Linked DNA regions of Stegostoma tigrinum. Each later gene encodes a partner of the first gene's protein in a complex. Links are inferred from orthologs where the notes say so. Each region holds a gene or a part of one and is shown on either strand. Other genes may lie near its edges.

The links. Proteins that work in one complex are often made in the same cells at the same time.
Region 2: the proteins of syk (region 1) and tyrobp are in contact, whole or in part, in a crystal structure (PDB 7Q5W), measured with the Homo sapiens proteins. The link is inferred for Stegostoma tigrinum from reciprocal best matches to the Homo sapiens genes SYK and TYROBP. Residues at the interface, in NP_001167638.1 of Homo sapiens: Arg22, Arg42, Asn46, His62, His63, Tyr64, Thr65, Ile76, Ala77, Gly78, Gly79, His92, Asp97, Gly98, Leu99, Arg175, Arg195, Arg197, Lys212, Leu214, His215, Tyr216, Arg217, Ile228, Pro229, Glu230, Gly231, Lys232, His243, Lys247; in NP_003323.1 of Homo sapiens: Pro90, Tyr91, Gln92, Glu93, Leu94, Gln95, Arg98, Ser99, Asp100, Val101, Tyr102, Ser103, Asp104, Leu105, Asn106.

Annotation. Positions count from the first base shown.
Region 1 is NC_081356.1:52,826,660-52,833,565, reverse strand, and holds the start of syk (tyrosine-protein kinase SYK), read left to right. Parts: upstream 1-3,899; 5' UTR 3,900-3,964; intron 3,965-4,702; 5' UTR 4,703-5,087; intron 5,088-6,906. UniProt on the Homo sapiens protein: Non-receptor tyrosine kinase which mediates signal transduction downstream of a variety of transmembrane receptors including classical immunoreceptors like the B-cell receptor (BCR).
Region 2 is NC_081394.1:791,366-798,447, forward strand, and holds the start of tyrobp (TYRO protein tyrosine kinase-binding protein), read left to right. Parts: upstream 1-4,063; 5' UTR 4,064-4,236; coding exon 4,237-4,297; intron 4,298-7,082. UniProt on the Homo sapiens protein: Adapter protein which non-covalently associates with activating receptors found on the surface of a variety of immune cells to mediate signaling and cell activation following ligand binding by the receptors.

The DNA.
Region 1 (6,906 bases):
TACAAATAGATGAATGGCAAGAAGGTAGCAGATGGAGCATATCTGGGGAAAAGTAACATTATTCATTTTCTTTAGGAAACTGAAAAATTAAAATTGTTTAAATGCTGAGAAATTGCCTGGTGTAAACATTCACATAGACGTGGATGTCCTTGTTTATGAAACACAGAAATGAATCATGCAGCTAAAGTGATTATTTAGGAACTTTGACGACATACTGGACTTTATTGCAAATGGATTAGAGCAAAGAATAAAGATGTCTTGTTGCAATTCTGCAAGGCTTGATGAGACCACACCTGAAGGCTTCTCCTCAGTTTTATTTTTTTGTACCGAAGGAAGGATGTAGTTCTCTTAGAGTAGGTGCAATGATGGTCCACTAGATTGGTTGTTGGTTCAATAAGTTTACTCTCTGAGTGATATTGAGCGCAACAGGCCTACATGCTACATGATTTAGAACAAAGAGAGACAATCACACTGAAACATGAAATTCTGATCAGGCCTGATTAGGTAAATGCTGAAAGATCATTCTCCTGGACTTGAGAACCTAGGCAAGTGGGTATAAACTTAGAATAAGTGGCCAACTACTGATGACTAGAATGAGGATAAATTTATTCATTCCCAAGGCTGTGAAACATTGGAATTCTCTGGCCCAGGGGAATATTCAGTTGTATATATTGCAAACAATAGTTTGTTTTTAATTCTAAGGGAATCTAGGGATATGCAATCACACTGGAAAGCAGATTTGATATTGAACATCATGCCTGATCTTATTGAATTGTACAACAAGATTAAGGGGCTGTTTGGCTCATTATATTTTTATTGCCTTATAAATGCAAACTGTTCATCAAGATTGTGAAACTTCTGACTCTATTCTAGAATTCGTTATAGATATTGCAATATATTTTAAATCCTTCATTCAGGAGCATTTTCATTACATTTTGTTTTAACTTGAAAGGGTTAATTTTAAGACAATTATTGCATTACAATCTGAGAACTCCTGTGAGGAAAATATAATTGGAGTGTGTGTGTCTGTCTGTCTGTTTGTCTGTCTGTCTCTGCCTGCCTGTCTGTATGTATTTTTGGAATTTGAGTTTCAAAAAAGAATGACATGGGTGTTTGCTGCTTCTTTGCTCTTTTTTCCTTTGAAATAAGGTCAGAGTGGCCTAAATCCAATATTTTATGAGAAAGTAGGTGATTGCAGATCCAGTGGTGTCAATAGAAAGATACTTATATTGTTGTGTTTACAACTGCTACAGGAAACATTTAAGGTTATTAGCTTTGTTTTCAGTTTAGAAAATTTCAGGGTTAAGCAGTGTTTTTTTAATATATTCAGTTTAGGAGAATCAGGGTTCAGTTTGGATGCAAGACTTGTTTGTCTTCTAACAGAAGCTCAGGGTCGTTTGAAGAAAACATCACCTCAGAGGAATGTTTTAGTTAGTGCAAGCTTTCAAACCAGATAGGTTGGTCAGGCTTCAGATTTGTAAAAACTTCACGGTGATGGACTTGGAAAAGACTTGCCAAATTATCTCAATAATTCACATGACAGAAAGGGCAAGGAATCATTTGAGTAAATATAGAGTTAAGACATGATGTAATTTCACCAACTTTGAGTGTCTCTGGAATGGATAGTGTAAGGAAACAGAGTGAAACTTTGTCCTGCTGTGTCTTTTATTGTCACTATAAAATGTTTCCATATTTAGATAGCTTTCTTCTTTTATGTGATAAACTTCTGTTCCATTGTTAAAGGAAATATGTTTCAGAGACTAACCATGAAGTTAACTAACTAAACCAAAAAACTAAACATACACCAAATTAGGTTTGATTTCATCCTGGGATCTGGCTTGTTTGACCATCAGCTAGAGTTATAACACAAGACGATGGAGTCTTACTTTACTAGAAAAGGCTCTAGGTGCTAAAGAGCTAGATATGTTGAGGTGTGTGGGGGGCTGTTGTGGTGTAGTGTTAATATTCCAATCTCTGTATCAGGAAGCCTGGCTTTGAGTCCCATCTGCTCCAGAGATGTGCAACTACATCAAAGAACAAGTTGATGAAAAAAACTGTATATTTTCTTCAACAATCCCATCCTTAACTAAAAACTCAGTCGGAAGTCTGTTAAACACAAAATGTCTTGCCCTCATCTACTTAATGCAATGAGCAGCACTATCTCAGGATGAGATTTTCACTCCCATTTAGAAACAATATTTCACCTAAGAGGGCTGCCAATCAGTATAGTTGTCTGGAATCTCAGTACTCCCAATAATGCATCAGGATTTCAAGGCAGGTCCTGGGTGTCAGTGGGGCTTGGCTGGGAGTGATGCTTTGGGGGTTGGGGTGGGTTTCTTCAAGAGGCTTATGTAGAAAAGACATAAAAGCAAGTTATGACTTTTGTCAGGGACAGTTCCATCGGGCACCATTGGCCTTCAAAGAAGTTACTATTTGATATCAGTTTGCCCAGTAAAAGCTGCAAGATTTCCCAGCTAGTGTGGCACTTTCAGCAGCAGTAGTGAAATAAAGCACTTATAGACCTAAAGTCCTACCACTGCATCTCAAGTTTGGTAGGCTGCCTGACACTTTACCCACCCAATATTAAATAGAAGACAGGTTGAAGGTGGATGTCAATGCATATGCTATGAGTTCTTCACCTTGAGGATAGGAAACCAAGGATCTGTTGAATAGAGTAGTGCAGAGGAGGGCAGTCCAATTTCCCTAGGACCAGTGGAAGTAACCACTACCCTAAACCTTGACAATCTACAACGTTGCCACCAGGGTCAATAAGGTCCCAGCCTTCTGAAGGAGTGTTCAGTACCATATGAAGAAGGTCAATGGCCTGCTTCACTCTGCCAACATAAATGCCATTATCTTCTCTTGGTTACTGCACACATTTCCAACCATGGCTCACACTCTACCACTCTTACTATTGCCTATAATATCTTCTCTCACTTGCTAACACACATCACCACTCCTCACACCACTAAACTTGCATGCCTCTGTTTGGGTAGGCAATGGCCTAATGGTATTATTACTGGACTGTTAATCCAGAGATCCAGATAACATTCTGAGGACTCAGATTCGAATCCCAGCACTGCAGAAGGTGGAATTTGAATTCAATAAATATCTGGAATTAAAAATCTAATGATGACTGTGAATCCATTGTCAATTGACAGGGAAAAATTCACCTGGTCCACTAATGTCCTTTAGGGAAGGAGACTGTCATCCTTATCCTACATGTGACTCTTGACCTACAGCAATGTTGTTGACTCTTAACTGCCCTCTAGGCAATTAGGAATGGGCAATAAATGCTGCCTAGACAGTGACATCCTCATCCTGTGAATGAATGAAGAAGAAAGCCTACCCCTCACTCAAGAGACAGTGCCAGCTTTCCCCACTTGCAGCAGTAATAGCTCCGACACCCCCTTTCATCTCACTTAATATGAGTGGCCATGTCCATATGACAGGATCTTGAGCCTAACCTGTCCCAGCAGTCCCACATGTTCCAGAGATGTTCACTAATATTTCCAACAGATTGATTAGAAAATAGTTCCAAATTGATTAGGTTATGATAGTAGTAGAGAGGATTGAGTGTTACTGGGAACTGGAGTCTGCAGATTTTGCAAATTTTGAGGATTGCATTTGACAGCACTCGATGAAAGTCTTTGGCTTGGTAGGGTCTAAAAGAATAGAGTTTGGCATGTTTTTAATTTAAATTCCCATTCTTCAGTTATCAATGCACAGGTCTGCCAATCCGTACAACGTGGCAACATTAGACTGCGATTGGTAATGGGAAAGCAAACTGCTCGCGCTTCTTTCTTAATCAGAACATCATTGCGTAGGTACAGGTCCGGGACGGAGCGAATTCTGTCGTCAGGAGTTTAATCCCGCCCCAAATTCGAACGCATGCGCAAAATAGTTCGGTTTTCATGGCTGCAATGATTCCTGTACTTGGGTAATCAACCCGGAAAGGCAAGCGGTAGTGGTTATTGACTCCATTGCACATAACTGAACATTTTGTCATTTTCTAATGTTGAGGAGGTTATTTAAATTGATATGTTCAAGAGCTATGTGCAACGCATTCACAGTGCGCACTCGATACACGACTTGGTGTAGTTTTGAGATATTTTACAGATTGGGCCTCAGGTTAACATTTGATCTGAAAGACACCAACTCTCGTAATGCAATACAGGTTCTAACTGCCGGCACATACAGTTTGCTCGAATTCCAAACTGGGATTTAACCTGGATGTCACCAACTTAATCATAGTTGTTATTATTTTAATGGTTCAGATCAATTTAAAATATTATCTATCGACAAAATTTGACAGAGACAATACAAATGTGACTCTATGAGTATCACTTAGATCCTGAAAAGCCGTCTTAACGCTGTTGCAAAAATCGTATTTTGCTAATGGATGCTATCATTCTCGCAGTGAGCAATTAAAAATTGTTTGCTAATTTAAAGAATCAAAAACACTTGAAGCCCGAAAACATAAATCTCTTACAACATAACACTGTTTCTTTGGGATACATCTTCACAGGCTGTCGTGAACATGCCCTGTTAATGAAATGTATTTGCGAAAATAGTGTTTTTTTAATTCAGTAACTATTTGGATTAAATTCCAATTATGTGTTTTGAAAGAAACGAAACTAACCTATCGGAGTAATTGTAAACGTTGTAATTGTAAATTTTATGCCACAATTTGTCTTATCAGTTGCTGATTCCATGAAAGGAGGAAGTTTTTTGGAATGAAGTGACTCGAGGAAGTAAGAATGGGGATTGGACTCGAGATGGAAAGAGGAAGTAACTGCCTACAGCTCATTCTCTCAACCAGCATCGAGTGTCCAAAGCAATTAAAATTTTCAACATGCGTTTGCGGATCTGAAATAGTGTGGGCTATTTTTCTTTTAAAACACACTGTCTGGGGTATTGCTGATCGTGCGGTGCTGTTTCTCCAGTGCCCTTTTTATGTTAAGATACGCATAGTTGTTCTGTATTTTAATTCGCATCAAAAACGGACCCGTCATTAATTAACTTTTAAAATAATCAGTTCAGCCTGTGACAGTGACAAGTGAATTCAAGGAAACAAGGCCGCACAGGTAAGGACTTTTTGGAATACTGGGAAATGTGAATTTTAATATGTGGACTTCCTTGAAGTATGTTTTCGCCGCACCGTATATTAGTAATTTAACTTAGGAAGCAAATTATTTTTCGACAATAAAAACGTGTTTCCCTCTATTCAACAAGGGTTCATATTCTTTCCTTTCTCGTTTTTAACATTGGATTTCGTTTCGTGAGCACTTCAGCATGCATTCGTCCAGAATTGTGCACATAGTGTTTTGGCAAGTACCATTTTGCTCCAGGCACTTCTGCAACGGTAGGAAATAGGGAAGTTGGCTTTTTACAAATGCTTATCTCGGATATTGTTTGCATGGTTCAAATTAACTTGCATTTTTTGATCACAAATAAATTCTGAAGTTATTTGTGAACCAGTGGACGGATAATTTCATTTACTGGCCGAGCGGTTTTTGATCCCGTGATCAGGAAACGTTGCCAATTCAACGAGGACAAAAACTTGACTACATATATAAAGTTTAAGAAGATTGAGCGCAGTCTGGAAGTGACACTAGATGAGTCAGTTTGGAGTCAGTACAATCTTATCATTGTGTCACGCTTGTTAAATACGTATATTTTTATCTTCTCACAACCTCTTTAGCATTACAATACATTTACAATCTTGCTGTTGTCTTCATTTTATTTTATGAAGTGTTGAAAATTTAAAACTAGATAAACTGAAAAAAAATCAGCCAGTCTTTGTGCAGTTGTATATATTTCTATATGTTACGGATCCTCAGTCAAACACGAGCTGAACGCTCCACAGTCGAACTGTGACTTTTTAGGCTCCCCCGATCTGTTTTCCTCCGGCCGCTGCTTCAAATTGATTTTTTACGCAACCGTTAATCTCATTTCATGGGCGTCTTTATGAATAGGAATATAAATCTGCGGGAACCTAGGGCGAGGGAATTTTAGGCGCATCGGTATCGCTAGTTGCTCTTCTTCCATTTCAACTTGTTTTAATGAGTGAACTTCTTGTCGCGTCTTCATATTTAGTTGAGGGCGGAAAAATTCAGTATATAGAATATGCGAAACACAAACAAAACGAAATGTTGCGGATGCTGGAAATGTTCAGCAGATCTAAGCAGCATGTTTAAACAGTTACTTTTGAGACATACGACCTTTCATCGGAGCTTGTTGCTTCAGATGCAAAAATACAATCATTTAAACGGAACTATTTTAAAAGACTGCTTATTCTGATAGCGCAGACGTACCTAGTGTTAAAGCAATTACACTTTATTTCTTTGTATAATATTGAAATTTTCTTTTGTCTCACTGTGGGTTTTGCAAATATTTTGCAACCAGAAACGAACCAAAATGGGAACGAAATTGATGCTTGCAGCTAGGTTGCCGCGGCGTCGACGTTAACTGCCATCTTCTGTTATGTGTAGTTCAACCAGTTTTCAGGCTGTTCACCCTTACTGCCACAATCGTCATGTTCTCTCAGCACCATGAACACAGCATTAATCCGAAAACACTACCTGCAAAAGCCCTTCTTGGCTACTTTATATGATGCTGCCGAAGTCTTTACTTGACCCACCGATGTCCTAGTTCCTAATCATGTCCTTTCTCGTTACTCCACACATCAATCTTGCTCTTTGCATCTCATGAGTATCCAGTTGTTAGTGTCTTATTGACATTGCCCCTATTTCTGTGCTTTATAACAGAGCTGGTCATACAACTGTCTTGCAGATTCTTTCTTTCAGTTTCAGTGACAGTTGTGTATCAATTAACAATATCATTAGAATCCCCACAGTGCGGAAACAGGCCCTTCGGGCCAACAAATCCACATCAACCGTCAGG
Region 2 (7,082 bases), on another chromosome or scaffold:
GAGAGACAGAGAGTGGGGGAGAGAGAGAGAGAGAAACAGACGGCGAGAGATGAGAGAGAGATAACAGAGAGGAAGAGTAAGAACGAGAGAAAAAGAAAGAGAGACTCAGAGAGATGGAATGAGGCAGAGCGGAGAGAGTGAGAGTCCTAAAATCTCTATTCATTTCCATTCTAAAGCTGAAAAGCACCTGCCAGCATCACAAAGATGTTATACCCACTTGAGACTGTCAATCAAACTGTGAGGTGACAGGCAACCAGCTGTGATAATGATAGTTTGTGCCCCACCACTAATGTAATACAATTCCAGACATATCCCTGAACACAGGCTGGGTGACAGGAGACACTAAGCTTGTTTGAAATTGCTGACCATAATGAGCAGGAACCTGATTGCAACAGCTGATCGGTTGCACGAGGGATCGCTGATGCCCTTCACACAGCCTCTTTTTCCCAAAGACAGTTGGCAGCTAACATTCCCCAAAACACGGCAGCAGAGCTTTCCAAAAGGTTTCCCTACCTCTGCAGAGTGTTCTGGAGAGTCCACCCACTCTCCTGCCTGTAACCAGGGATGTGGCGCAGCCAGTTAGGAGAAGCCTGTCATGCTAAGTGTGCTTCAGTGAGGTGTTTGATAAGGTCCCACATGGTGATCTGGTGAATAAGGCCAGATCACATGGGATCCAGGGAGAGCTAGCCGACTGGATACAGAATGGGCTTGAAGGTCGGAGACAGAGGGAGGCGGGGTGAGGGTTGTGTTTCAGACTGGAGGCCTGTGAGCAGTGGAGTTTAATTGAGATAAATGTGAGGCGCTGCATTTTGGAAAGGCACATCAGGTCTTCCCTGGACTGATCTATCCCCTCCCTACCTCCCCACCTATACTCTCCTCTCCACCTATCTTCTTTTCTCTCCATCTTCGGTCCGCCTCCCCATCTCTCCCTATTTATTCCAGTTCCCTCTCCCCAACCCCGTCTCTGATGAAGGGTCTAGGCCCGAAACGTCAGCTTTTGTGCTCCTGAGATGCTGCTTAGCCTGCTGTGTTCATCCAGCCTCACATTTTATTATCAGGGCAGGACTTATACACTTCATGGTAAGGTCCTGGGGAGTGTTACTGAACAAAGAGACCTTGGGGGGGCAGGAATATAGTTCCTTGAAAGTGGAGTCGCAGGTAGACAGGGCGGTGAGGAAGGTGTTCGGTACGCTTGCCTTTATTGGTCAGTGTGTTGAGTATAGGGAGTTGGGACGGTCATGTTGGGGCTGTACAGGACATTGGTTAGGGCCACTTTTGGAATACTGTGTCCAATCCCGGTCTCCCTGCTACAGGAAGGTTGGTGTGAAACTTGAAAGGGCTCAGAAAAGATTTACAGGGATGTTGCCAGGGTCGGAGGGTTTGAGCTACAGGGAGGGGCTGGATAGGCTGGGGCTATTTTCCCTGGAGCGTCGGGGGCTGAGGAGTGACCATATAGAGGTTTATAAAACCATGAGGGGCATGGATAGGGAGAATAGACAAGGTCTTTCCCCCCAGGGTGGGGGAGTCCAAAACTAGAGGGGCATAGGTTTAAGGTGAGAGGGGAAAGATTTAAAAGGGACCTAAGGGGTAACTTTTTCACACAGAGGGTGGTGCGTATATGGAATGAGCTGCCAGAGGAAGTGGTGGGGGCTGGTACAGTTACAGCATTTAAAAGGCATCTGGATGGGGACATGGATAGGAAGGGGTTAGAGGGATATGGGCCAAATGCTGGGGAATGGGAACGGATTAATTTGGAATATCTGGTCAGCACGGACGAGTTGTACCGAGGAGTGTTCCTGTGCACTGCATAACACTCTGACGCTATGAGATGAGCAATGAATCTGGTTAAATGTAGGTGAGTCGTGTGATGTGAAACATCACCCCTTCCCCCGTCTAGGAACCGCTGATGTGGAAAGTACACAGTGATCCCTTCTCCACACACCTTTGGGTTGGTTTATCTGAAGAGACAGTTCCGAACACAACAAATATTCAGGCTCTTGCCCTTTGGTCACGAGGTATCCTGCTGTGACCATGTCACAGTGTCTCAGTGTTTCTGAGACTTTAATTTTCTTTATTCATTCACAGGATGAGGGCGTCGCTGGTCGGGCAGCATTTACTGCCCGTCCCTAATTGCCCAGGGGGCAGCTCAGAGTGAACCACATTGCTGTGGGGCTGGAGTCACATGCAGGCCCAGACCAGATTAAGGACGGCAGTTACCTTCCCTACAGGGCATTAGTGAACCAGGTGGGTTTTTCCTGACAATCGACACTGGATTCATGCTCATCATTAGATTCTTAATTCCAGATATTTATTTAATTCAAATTCCACCACCTGCCTGGGCAGGATTCGAAATCGGGTCTTGGGACGTGTGTGTGTGTGTGTGTGTGTGTGTGTGTGTGTGTGTGTGTGTGTGTGTGTGTGTGTCTGTGTGTGAGGCAGAGTGTGTGTGTGTGTGTGTGTGTGTGTGTGTGTGTGTGTGTGTGTGTGTGAGGCAGAGTGTGTGTGTGTGCGCGCGCACGCGTGTGTGTGTGTGTGAGGCAGAGTGTGTGTGTGTGTGTGTGTGTGTGTGAGGCAGAGTGTGTGTGTGTGTGTGTGTGTGCGTACGTGGGTGTGTGTGTGTGTGTGAGCGTGTGTGTGTGAGAGGGAGAGTGTGTGTGTGTGAGTGTGTGTGTGTGAGTGTGTGTGAGAGAGTGTGTGTGAGAGTGTGTGCGTGAGAGTGTGTGTGTGTGTGTGAGTGTATGTGTGAGTGAGTGTGTGTGTGTGAGAGAGTGTGTGTGAGAGTGTGTGCGTGAGTGTGTGTGTGTCCGTGTGTGTGTGTGAGAGTGTATGTGTGAGTGAGTGTGTGTGTGTGTGTGTGTGTGTGTGTGTGTGTGTGTGTGTGTGTGTGTGTGTGAGTGTGTGTGTGTGTGTGTGTGTGTGTGTGTGTGTGAGAGAGTGTGTGTGAGAGTGTGTGCGTGAGTGTGTGTGTGTCTGTGTGTGTATGTGAGTGTATGTGTGAGTGAGTGTGTGTGTGTGTGTGAGTGTGTGTGAGTGTGTGAGAGAGTGTGTGTGAGAGTGTGTGCGTGAGTGTGTGTGTGTCCGTGTGTGTGTGAGAGAGTGTATGTGTGAGTGAGTGTGTGTGTGAGTGTGTGTGTGTGTGTGTGTGTGTGTGTGAGAGTGTATGTGTGAGTGAGTGTGAGTGTGTGTGTGAGTGAGTGTGTGTGAGCGTGTGTCTGTGTGTGTGTGTGAGAGTGTATGTGTGAGTGAGTGTGAGTGTGTGTGTGTCTGTGTGTGAGCGTGTGTCTGTGTGAGTGTGTGTATCTAACTCTGTGTTAGTCAGCGTCTAGCTCTGAGTCCGTGTGGCACCCTCTCCCACACAGATATCACACTTGTCTTGCTCTTCTGGGGCAAGTTTGAAACCATCCCTTGGCCTGCAGGAGCAGATATGACCCCCTCCCTCCCTCGCCCTGCAGGAGCAGATATGACCCCCCTCCCTCCCTCGCCCTGCAGGAGCAGATATGACCCCCCTCCCTCCCTCGCCCTGCAGGAGCAGATATGACCCCCCCTCCCTCCCTCGCCCTGCAGGTGCAGATATGACCCCCTCCCTCCCTCGCCCTGCAGGAGCAGATATGACCCCCCTCCCTCCCTCGCCCTGCAGGAGCAGATATGACCCCCCGCCCTCCCTCGCCCTGCAGGAGCAGATATGACCCCCCGCCCTCCCTCGCCCTGCAGGAGCAGATATGACCCCCGCCCTCCCTCGCCCTGCAGGAGCAGATATGACCCCCCTCCCTCCCTCGCCCTGCAGGAGCAGATATGACCCCCCGCCCTCCCTCGCCCTGCAGGAGCAGATATGACCCCCCGCCCTCCCTCGCCCTGCAGGAGCAGATCTGACCCCCCGCCCTCCCTCGCCCTGCGGGAGCAGATCTGACCCCCCGCCCTCCCTCGCCCTGCGGGAGCAGATCTGACCCCCCGCCCTCCCTCGCCCTGCGGGAGCAGACATGGCCCCCTCCCCCGCCACGTCGCTGCCTGGGTGTGGGGATGAATTGGGTTCTCTCTGAGCTGACCACAGAGCACTTTGACGGAAGAAGAGATTGCTTGGTCAGAGGCTTGTTATAACGGCACGCCACTTCCTCATGCACATCGAGCCGGCCTGCTCCAGGGTTGCACCGATAGCAGCTCCCCTCGCGCCCGGCGATCCCACTCAGTGCCCGCATCGCGCCAGGCTCCAACCAGATCCAGGTCCGTTCCTCCAGCCGGATGGCAAACAGCCGGATTCACACACTCCGCACTGCCACCCTCCTCCTCGCCACCATCTTCGGTAAGTCCTTCATTATCTACGTAACTCCCTCCCTCACCCACCTCTATCACCGTAACTCCCTCCCTCACCCACCTCTATCACCGTAACTCCCTCTCTCACCCTCCTCTATCATCGTAACTCCCTCCCGCACCTTCCTCTATCACCGTAACTCCCTACCGCACCCTCGTCTATCACAGTAACTCCCTCCCTCACACTCCTCTATCACCGTAACTCCCTCCCTCACCCTCCTCTATCATCGTAACTCCCTCCCGCACCTTCCTCTATCATCGTAACTCCCTCCCCGCACCCTCCTCTATCATCGTAACTCCCTCCCAAACTCTCCTCTATCATCGTAACTCCCTCCCTCACCCTCCTCTATCATCATAACTCCCTCCCTCACCCTCCTCTATCACCGTAACTCCCTCCCTCACCCTCCTCTATCACCGTAACTCCCTCCCTCACCCTCCTCTATCATCATAACTCCCTCCCTCACCCTCCTCGATCACTGTAACTCCCTCCCTCACCCTCCTCTATCATCGTAACTCCCTCCCGCACCCTCCTCTATCATCATAACTCCCTCCCGCACCCTCCTCGATCACCGTAACTCCCTCCCGCACCCTCCTCGATCACTGTAACTCCCTCCCTCACCCTCCTCTTCAACGTAACTCCATCTCTCACCCTTCATTATCTCCGTAACTCCCTCCCTCACCCTCGCCTTCACCATAACTCCCTCCCGCACCCTCCTCGATCACTGTAACTCCCTCCCTCTCCCTCCTCTATCACTGTAACTCCCTCAATCACCCTCGTCTATCACCGTAACTCGCTCCCTCACCCTCCTCTATCACCGTAACGCCCTCCCTCACCCTCCTCTTCACCGTAACTCCCTCCCTCACCCTCCTCTTCACCGTAACTCCCTCCCTCACCCTCCTCTATCACCGTACCTCCCTCCCTCACCCTCGTCTATCACTGTAACTCCCTCCCTTACCCTCCTCTATCATCGTAAATCTCTCCCGCACCCTCCTCTAACACCGTAACTCCCTCCCTCACCGTCCTCTATCATCGTAACTCCCTCCCGCACCCTCCTCTATCACTGTAACTCCCTCCCGCACCCCTCAATATTGCCAAATCTCATTCTCTCCCTCGCAACTCTCTCATTGTATCCCCCTCCATCCACTACACCCTCCCTATCTCTGTAACCCCCTCCATCCCCTACACCCTCCCTATCTCTGTAACCCCCTCCAGCCCCTACACCCCCTCCCTATCTCTGTAACCCCCTCCATCCCCTACACCCTCCCTATCTCTGTAACCCCCTCCAGCCCCTACACCCCCTCCCTATCTCTGTAACCCCCCCCAGCCCCTACACCCCCTCCCTATCTCTCTAACCCCCTCCAGCCCCTACACCCCCTCCCTATCTCTGTAACCTCCTCCAGTCCCTACACCCCCTCCCTATCTCTGTAACCCCCCCCAGCCCCTACACCCCCTCCCTATCTCTGTAACCCCCCCCAGCCCCTACCCCCTCCCCCACCGTCTCTGCTTCTCCGGCGACTTTCTGTTTTGTTCCTGATTTGCAGCTTCTGCAGTTCTTTCGGTTTTTATTTAATTTGCCAGTTTCCTCACGCAACAGGAATTAGTGACCCCCTCGGGGTTTTCCCCGGGAACGGACGGTGCTCACTGTTAGACGTGCTTTATATTCTGTATTTAATTGAATTCTTATTGGGGAGGGGGATTTGAACTCATGCCCAGCACCTGGGCCCGGGGTGGGGTCAGGGACCACAGTCCAGGGGCATTAGAATGAGCTGCAGTCTGCCCCTGGGTGGGGCACGTAACCATTGTTAGGCCAAAGCCGGTAGGAAGAGTCAAAGTATACAATGGTCTCATCTGCATTCAGCACAGGATAGCACTCAAGGGGGGCAGAACGCCCTTCTGTTCCTGGGTAACAGGCTGGAAGAAGGGGGCTGAATGGCCTCCTTTTCCTGGGGAACGGGCTGGAGGAAGGAGCTGAATGGCCTCCCATCCCTGTGTAACAGGCTGGAGGAAGGGGGCTGAATGGCCTCCCGTCCCTGTGTAACAGGCTGGAGGAAGGGGGCTGAATGGCCTCCCGTCCTTGGGGAACGGGCTCGGAGAGGAAGCGGGAGGAGGGAGGTGCTGAATGAGCGGGTGTTTGCTATAGATTAAGGTCCCGAGCACCTCAAGGCGCTGTCCCGGCAGAGCCAGCCCTCAGATGAGAGGAGGAATGGCTGCCTGGTGTCACTAGCCCTGAGGGACAGGACGCTCCCTGTTCCTGAAAACACCCACAAATGAAGGAATTCCCCGGCGGAAAGTCGCCAGGAAGTGCCCTGCGTGGTGCCACAGCTGCAGGAAAGCACCTTGTTCAGACATGCCAGTGGGCGGCAACACCAATACAGTCGGTTGTTGTTGAGTTTGCAGCAGGGATGGCGCTTTTCTTGAAGCGAGTCTCCTGCAGCCCATCAGCGCATTGAGGTGGGGGAGGGTGAGGGTGGCGGGGGGATGGCAGGGAAGGTTGGTTACGGTGTCAGACCCCGGGAGATCCCCGAACATCCCTCACCCCCTCCAGCCCCTACACCCCCTCCCTATCTCTGTAACCCCCTCCAGCCCCTACACCCCCTCCCTATCTCTGTAACCCCCTCCAGCCCCTACACCCCCTCCCTGTCTCTGTAACCCCCTCCAGCCCCTACACCCCCTCCCTATCTCTGTAACCCCCTCCAGCCCCTACACCCCCTCCCTATCCCTGTAACCCCCTCCCTATCTCTGTAACCCCCTCCAGCCCCTACACCCCCTCCCTATC